2 linked regions of the Caenorhabditis elegans genome follow. The protein of the gene in region 2 interacts with the protein of the main gene of each other region in a pairwise test. Each region holds a gene or a part of one and is shown on either strand. Other genes may lie near its edges. The genes, in order: F25D1.5 and abhd-3.2.

What was found.
Region 1: the proteins of abhd-3.2 (region 2) and F25D1.5 interact in a two-hybrid assay, tested with the Caenorhabditis elegans proteins (one large-scale study listed by BioGRID).

Annotation. Positions count from the first base shown.
Region 1 is NC_003283.11:10,545,178-10,548,810, reverse strand, and holds F25D1.5 (DeHydrogenases, Short chain), read left to right. Parts: upstream 1-2,027; 5' UTR 2,028-2,058; coding exon 2,059-2,328; intron 2,329-2,371; coding exon 2,372-2,560; intron 2,561-2,607; coding exon 2,608-2,982; 3' UTR 2,983-3,068; downstream 3,069-3,633. Other genes in the region: srd-34 (Serpentine receptor class delta-34), read left to right, coding at 131-168, 216-312, 359-505, 558-757, 804-961, 1,011-1,213; degt-1 (Acid-sensing ion channel 1), read right to left, coding at 3,069-3,190, 3,233-3,324, 3,471-3,562.
Region 2 is NC_003284.9:974,997-980,210, forward strand, and holds abhd-3.2 (Protein abhd-3.2), read right to left. Parts: upstream 3,013-5,214; 5' UTR 3,007-3,012; coding exon 2,929-3,006; intron 2,883-2,928; coding exon 2,716-2,882; intron 2,276-2,715; coding exon 1,946-2,275; intron 1,896-1,945; coding exon 1,722-1,895; coding exon of another isoform or gene 1,718-1,721; intron 1,434-1,717; coding exon 1,286-1,433; intron 1,238-1,285; coding exon 1,171-1,237; intron 908-1,170; coding exon 744-907; 3' UTR 529-743; downstream 1-528.

The sequences.
Region 1 (3,633 bases), on a different chromosome or scaffold from region 2:
AATTTATTTTTGGGTTTATTTTGGTTTTACCATGTTCAGTCAAACTTCCGTCGTGCTTTTAGTTGTTTTTAAAACGCCCGTAGTATTCAAAGATTTTCGTGTCTTTCTTGTCAATTCTTCAACTTTACAGTTTTTCATGTGCATAATAGTTGTCTTCACACAAGTCAGGTTAGTTGTACGATAATATTAATTTTTAGCTAACACTGTTCCTTCAGACCTGTGAACAATCCAGAATCGTCAGCATATCTTTTTAGCGGGTTTTGTAGACACACTCATAAAAATGCTTGCTTTTTCAGTTTTGATTTTTTCCAGGTAAGTGTCCTGTAATTGTTATTTTTTACAAATATTCAAAATTCAGTTAGTCTTTGATGCCTCGTCCTTTGCAATTCCTGCTACATTGTTTTACAAATATACAAAAGTAACAAATATTAATATGAAAAACATAACTAAAAATCAAATCAGAATGATTCTTTTAAGCTCTTACCTTCTATCTTTAATTGTGGGGGTGAGTTTTGCTTTTCGTGATTGATCTAGAATGGAAATATGAATGTTTCTAGGTGATCTATGTGATAACGTACGAACCAGACGAATCTCTTGAGGTTGCTTCAGAGACCAGGAAGTTTCATTCAACACAATATGATTTCCGGTACTATGCGGATATCACTGGATATCAAAAACATTTTTGGAGCTGGTTAGCAACAAATTTGAATATGATAAGCATTTTCGTCCCACCAATCATGAGTATTGTGTTTATTAGGTAATAAATTTGAGTTTCGAAGAAATACTTACCAATGTGTTTCCAGACTAATACAAATTAAACTCAACAGTTTAAAACATTTATTTACTGATAAAACTGCTGCTCAAGCCAAGAAGTTTGATCTTGCTTTGACGATTCAGACACTTGTCCCTGCAGTTTGTGTGATTCCTATATACATAGCTCACTTAATACTTGAGAATTATGGTAGGCTCCTGTCCGTTTTTACAGTAAAATAATATGTGACAATTTTCAGACTTGCCGTTTCTCTCAAATTTTGAAAAAGTTCTATATATGATGCTTTCTCTTCCAACAGCTATTGATGCGTTCATTGTTATTGTCACCATCACACCGTACCAAAAAGCCTTTATTGCGTTTTTCAAGGATACGTTTTGTGGCAAAAAAGTTTCACCTGCAATTGTTAGACGTAACAATATTTCGGCTGTTTCCATTTTTTGAGCATTTTGAATAATTGGTAATGATAGTGGTGGACTAATCGGAGTAGTAATCGGAACTTTGCTCAATTGAATAAAATAACATTGTTCAAAGATATTACACAAGCACTTTTATAACAGTAATAAAAAATACCGACAAATGAAAAACATTGTTCGAAGATCTGCAAATAAAAATAACGATGAAAAAATATTTACAGTTCAACATTACACTTTAAAATAAAGTGCCAAAGCTCTCAAACAATTATTGTTAAACAAGTTTTTGGATCTAGAGAGACTATTCACCGTATTTCCTCACCAAATTAATTCATTTTGACGTCTAGTGTCGCACTACGTTTTAACGATACTAGAAATGTGTTATTAAAGCCCTAAGAAAAAGCTTATTGTTTATATTTTGCTAGTTGGCGAATGTCTGACAAAATTAAAAAAACAACCGAAAAATAAGCAGCTAAAGATGGAGAGATGGGTGCAAGACTATTGGACACGGAAATTATTTTTTTTTTAAGCAAATAAAATTTTAAAATTCCTGAAATCATAGTTGTGTTTTCATATTGAAAACTTGATCAATTGATCTTCCCTCAACTGTGCTTGCACAAAAATAGACACAATTCAAAGAGACGCAGAGGAATTAACAGTCACAAAAATTGTTACACTGTCTATGGTCTCTTCGGGAAGTAACTTTGAAAATACTCTCTACGTAAACAGATATTTCATATTTTAGTCACGGAAACTACAAACTTCCATTCAACCATGAAATAATTTTAACTGCAATGAGTATAAAAAGAAAACATTAAACTGCATTTAAACATCACATTCATCTGATTGACATTTTATTTTTGTAATCTCAAAATAATGGCTCGCTTTTCTGGAAAGTCTGTCATTATAACTGGTTCTTCTAATGGAATCGGAAGATCGGCTGCTGTGATTTTTGCAAAGGAAGGAGCTCAAGTTACAATTACTGGAAGAAATGAAGATCGCCTAGAAGAAACCAAACAGCAAATATTGAAAGCAGGAGTTCCAGCTGAGAAGATTAATGCCGTGGTTGCTGATGTTACCGAAGCATCAGGACAAGATGATATCATCAACACGACTCTTGCTAAATTCGGAAAAATTGATATCTTGGTATGTACATAGATAGAAAATGAAATATACTCAATTGTTTTAGGTTAATAATGCTGGTGCCAATTTAGCTGACGGAACAGCTAATACGGATCAACCAGTGGAGTTGTATCAGAAAACATTCAAGTTAAACTTCCAAGCTGTGATCGAAATGACTCAGAAAACAAAGGAACATTTGATAAAGACAAAAGGAGAGATTGTAAATGTTTCCAGTATCGTTGCTGGCCCACAAGCAGTAAGCTTCGGGAGAGAGGATTTCAGAACTTTTGTTTTAATTTTCAGCACTCTGGATATCCATATTATGCTTGCGCAAAAGCTGCGCTTGACCAATACACCAGATGCACTGCAATCGATCTTATTCAACATGGTGTCCGCGTAAATTCTGTCAGCCCTGGAGCAGTTGCCACTGGTTTCATGGGAGCGATGGGTTTACCAGAAACTGCATCTGACAAGCTTTACAGTTTTATTGGCTCACGGAAAGAATGCATTCCTGTTGGGCATTGTGGAAAGCCAGAAGAAATTGCCAATATCATTGTATTCCTGGCTGATAGAAACCTCTCATCTTACATTATTGGACAATCGATTGTTGCTGATGGAGGATCAACTCTTGTTATGGGAATGCAAACACATGATCTTATGTCCGTTCTTAGTCAGTAAACTATAACTTTTTTTTTCAGATTTTGTTAACCATTGTTATCTAATGTAATAGTCGTAAAATACACAATAAAATACATTGAATACTTTTATATAAATTGTGGTTTTAGGAATATATTACTTTTCTTTCGTTCACAAAGAAAAACAAGAGTTTCTGCTGCAGTTAGAAGTGTTGCTCCAACATATAATCCAATGGTTCCTCCAATTTCGGCTGAAAACTTTCAAAGTTACAAGCACATCGAGTAAAACTCACCAAGAAGTAAAAATAAGTTGTAGGATCTTTCTTGAAGAATAGTCTCTTGTTTAAAGTGTGCAAAATAGAACTTGATGTGAAGAAGATTTACTCTGAAAAAAGTTTGTTCCGTTGAAAGTACCAAGTTTAATGTTTATTTGCACGCATACACTCAATTAGAACAAGACGTCACGGCGGCGTCGTTTGCCATCACTGAGCTCACCCTACTCACAACTCAGATTACGCTTAAAAGACTTACACATCATATTGAGGAGTTGGAGAATATGACTGGGCCATCAAAACTTGGTTTCGAAGTCTTGAAAGCCATTCGCCACGGATGAATCGAGTTTTCTTTAAAATATAGAAATTAAAATCAGATCTTGATTTTTAAACTTTGAAATATTTTCTTATTTTATGTATTA
Region 2 (5,214 bases):
TCGGAGAAAATCTGAAGAAAACTGAATCTTCTCCAATTTTTCATTATACTAACTTGGTCCTGAACAAAAGTCTATGAAATATGTATAAGAATTATTATCCGTATGCGTGATGTACTAGGACAACAATTATCATTTACTATATATAAAGCGCGTGTCCTTCTGTCCCTATGTAGTTTGATCTCCGATCAGAGCAACGAAATTTTGGGAAACCTTATGCTAAATGCGCAGCAGACATCGATCGAGGTCCGCGATAGACACCGTATATCTAATGTGTTTTCTCAAAAAAGTCGGGGGCCGCGCCGTAGGTGCGGTCCACGGCTGGTACTAAAATAATTAACTCGTATCAGAGCTTTTCAAAATTGTTCCCTGTACTTATGGTAGGGTTTTACCAAAGCTCCAGCTTAACGCAAACTTCACAGATTTATGACTATTCAATGCAAGGTGGCTGGTTCTAATTTGAAGGACATAACACAATTTTTCGTTCACATGAAACTGCAGCCAAATATTAATTTTACACTATTTTCAATTCGTGTTTGAAGTTTTTATTTGACAAAAAAAGAGTTTCATCTAGTCATATCTGCAACCATTAACTCTTTGCACATTTAAAAAATTAAATTAAAATCACAATAATAATAAAAAACCGGGATGTACTGAAAAACCTGATATTGTTCAAAAAGTGTAATAGTCCTAATAATACAAAAATAATACGTATAATTTGAAAACATTGCACAATCCATCAAAGCTCATGAATAATCATGGAAGATCATATTTCCCCATTGCGAGAGCAACTTTTCCACCATTCCGCGCGCATTTGGATCAGCAGACTCCATGAAAGCAGTATGTCCTCCGTGATTGGTGATAATACCGCAAACGTAGTCGCTCTCCATTATATCTAATGTAGGGATGCCTAAATAGGGGAAATGTATGAATAATTATTAAATTTGGTATTTTGTTTAAAAAATGTAATTAGAAAACTAGCTTTTCAATTACATATTTAATATATATTTCATAAAAATTCCACACGTTTTATAATTTTTTGCAACCCGCAATGTGTCGGTTGCTGTTATTACCGTAGAGCAAACACGTCTAATTATGAACTAGAGAAACGTAGCAAGCACTCATGTTTGTATATGAACATTAGTTTTCAAAGCTGTTCAAACCAAAACTTACATTCCACCGGGCTGAAATAATCATCAACAGAATTCAGTGTTACACATGGAATCTTGATTTTGTCTACCTGGAAATTGATTTTTCAAATTTTTACAAACCAAGTTTCAAATGTTACCTTTGTCGCCAAAGTAGCCTGTCTGTAATAGTCATCGCAACTCTTGAACCCATACATGGGAATCACAAAAGATCGATCAAACCCTCTAACCGTATTGCATCTGCACACTTCGTCAAAATCCACCATATCTTTGAATAGCTCGCGGTACCTGGAATTGTGGGAGCTACTTATGAACTCAGGGGTTTGGTTCATTAATAGCTTAGCAGGAAATACTAAAAATTTGGGCGTAAAGGAATTGCTTCAAATTAACGCGCAAAAACCAATCACTTAATGAGAAGCTTGCCAGCTCTTTGAGCACAGGGCCTGCTCATGTCTCCTCAAATTTTCTCAATGCCAATTTTTTATACCAACTACGTTTGTTGTTTAAAAGTCATCAGATTTAAAATATTAAAAATAAACACCTTACTAATATAAACGAAAAAACATCAAAACTTACGGTCTCACCATATCTACCAAGTTCTTTGCAATAAAGCTGTTGAAAATAAGTTGTGGAATAAAGCATTCAATAGAATCAGAAGCAACAAGGGGATCCCACGGAGAAGAAACAATCATGCCTCCGTCCAGATCTGCATTTTCTCCAGTCATCGCTAGATAGTTCCAGAGAATCATTCTGAAAATAAGCGTGTTGCTGAATCTTTTTAGCTCCTAAACTACACTCACCCTCCCATGGAAAACCCGCATCCCAGCTTCTTTGCATCCGGATATCTTTCATTAATCATCTTAGCAATGAACGCAAAATCATGTGGAGTGGCGGCATTGTACGTCCTAGTAGTTCTCAGCTTAACACCACCAAGTCCTCGTGGGTTCACGACCACACACTTCCAGCCCTTATCTCTTGCTTCTTTGACAGGATGGAGAACGTAGCTGCTGTCATGAGTACTTCCTGTGATTCCCGGCAAGAAAACGACAATTGGGGTGGTGTCATCAGCACCTTCAGGGATCAACCAGTCTATTCCAGCTGCACCACCATCGTCGAACTCTACTATTTCTCTGGAAATAGTTTGATGAAATGACAGCGTCTCCGTTTTGATATGAATTAACGTACATCAAGTTTATGAATCTATGAAACAATACATAGTTAAGATTTTCAATTATTGTTGTTTTGGCTATTAACTGTAAATATACCAGTTGAACCAACTAGATTCTAAATCGATTCAGCTATTCAAATTTTTGCTCAATTGAACTAAACTGTTTCTAAGCACTAGACTCCACAGAAATGACTATCACATTTGTTTCTAGATAAGACGTGTGTTTTAAGCTCGGTTCAATCGACTAGACAACACATTTTTGTACTGAATTTTCACACCCTTACGTCCTATATAAATTCAATTTTTGAAGTTCTGAACTCCAACTGAATATCTCAAAACTAGTAAACAAATTACGGTATATTAAATACAAAATATATACTTAACACTTAAAATTGAACAAACCTTGTAAATGGTAGCGATGGACAATCCCGGAATATCTGTCGTACTACGGTTTGAGTCGTGCCAAAGGGGCACCACCAACTAGGATGGTACTTTTGCTCCAAAATCCTTAAATTCGAATGAACCTTCTTTTGAAGCTTGGTACCAGGCTTAACATAGTGCTTCGGTATCTGCAATCTTATTCTCTTAACGGGATATTTACAATATGAAACGTACTGCTGAAATGTACCAGGAATACATCCATAAAAATATCGGAGCAACTATCACCAAAGTCAAAATCAATGGCAGAACCATATTGAGCTGAAAAAGTAAAAAACTGATTTTATAAAAATTTAAAGCAAAATTGCGCAGTTATGGTGCAAGAAAAAGCAAAAGACTCTAAAAAATGTATACTTTAGCAAATTTTTTTGATTGCATCAAACCTAAGACTGCTGAAACATTTTGGAAAAATTGTTTCCTGGGTGCATATTTTGGTTGGTAAGCCGAAAATGCTCTATTAATAAAGGTAAACAGAAAAAAGAAGTTAAAAAGTTAAATCTTTGAGAAATGTTAAATTATGAAAAAAAAAACTGAACAGAAAACCAAAAACCTTTCCGAACAGAGAAAAACCAACTTTTTTCGCTACCAATTCACAATTCAATAATTTTCAATGAAATTGATGGCGCAAAAGTTAATGGTTTCGATAAGAAAAGTTCATAGAACGAGCGGTGCAACATTAATCAGCTTTGCATGTACTTGAAGATCTGATAACAGTGCCGTTTTGTACTAAAAATGCCTTGTTATCACCGAAAAAACTCAAGGTTTTTGTCTGATAAGAGTCATCGCAATTTTTTTGACAGATCAGGCCAGTTTTAGTGAAAGCGTTTTTTTCTGCGGCGAGAACAAAGTTGAAAATTTTTTGGTTTTTTGGTAATGATAGACAGAAAAAATAACCGGAGGGCAACGAACATTTTACTATAAAAATATGAGTTCAAAAGATATTATTATACAGCTGCTTAGAAGTTTAAAAGTACACGAAATACCAAAAACTCTTTTGAATGGAAAAAGGATTTTTCAAAACAAATGTTCACAAAATCTGTAACTGAATTTTAATTAATCCATCCTTGAACTACAGAGCTGTGAAATATGTTCGATCTATTTTTTGCATTTGTCACTACATACGAAATTTGTGTATTTGCAATCAGAAAACATTTTGGAAATTTTTTTGTAAAACTTTTAAAAAAATCTAAAACATTGAAAGTTGGCAAAAACTTCATTTGAAAACATTTTGCAGGTCTTCAAAGTAATCAAAATACTCTAAAATTGTAAAAATAAAATTAAAACTGTGAAATTTTGCCTAATTTGCCGAGCGCGGCCAAATGCGCATTTCTTGAATAAAAATGAAAAAAAAAACACGATGCTATATTTTCTTTCATCAAGTATCTTATCGAAACCATTAGTTTTGGATACAATTTTTATTTAAAATTGTTCATGTGTGCAGCAAATTTGGCGAGAAGTAGATTCGGCAAACGGCAAATAAATTTGTAGCATATGCCACTACATACTCACAAATGTTTTATCAAACTACATATGTTTTGTCAGTTAATTGTATTAGTATATCATTTCTATTCCACTAAAGTTTTCAAGCTGAAATAACAAACTATTGTAATCTGTATTTAAAGTTCACGTTCAGGGTACATATTCCAACGAAAATATAAGAATTCTAATTTGCCAATTTACTGGGACTTTGTTGAAGAATAGCTGTATTTCATTTTTCATTTTAACAACAAAAGTACATATCGCTCACATCACATCAGAACAGAAGATGTTTGTCATCGAATTCCTTTCTTTCGAATCCACTTTCAATGATTGCCACAAAGATTGCGGCTTCAACAAACTTTCAGTCTGCATTTCGTACAGTTTTCCTTTGGCAAATCTTCAGATATTATAGATTGTAGTTTCGAGTTCTTTATTCAGCTTGCAAAAAACTCTAGTAATCATTAACAATCAATAGTTCGTCTTGAAATGAGAAAATCTGTCGTTTTCCCTCTTATGAAGAACATTCGTCATCTGTTTTTGCCGTTCCACTTCAAAAACCCAAAAGTATTTCAATAGACCACTTTGGTTGATGCAATAATAAAAACATGCAGAGAACTTCATTCTTACAATTTTAATCTGCTGTAACAGATTTTACTGCATTTCATTTATAAAAATTGTTGTTTATTTCGAAATTCAAATTTCCAAATTGTACCAAATGCACTGAGCCAAATTATGATCAGTTTAAGATTGCACAATACAGTAGGGATTCGAGCTAAACCATGTTCAACACTATGTGTTGCACTGACAAAATATCACATTACGTTTTATTGCACTGACCAATATTCACACTAGCACTGACAAAAGTTCACATCACGTTTTGATTGCACTGACCAATATTCACACTAGCACTGACAAAAGTTTACATCACGTTTTGATTGCACTGACCAATATTTACCCCAGCACTGACTAATTACTACATTGCAC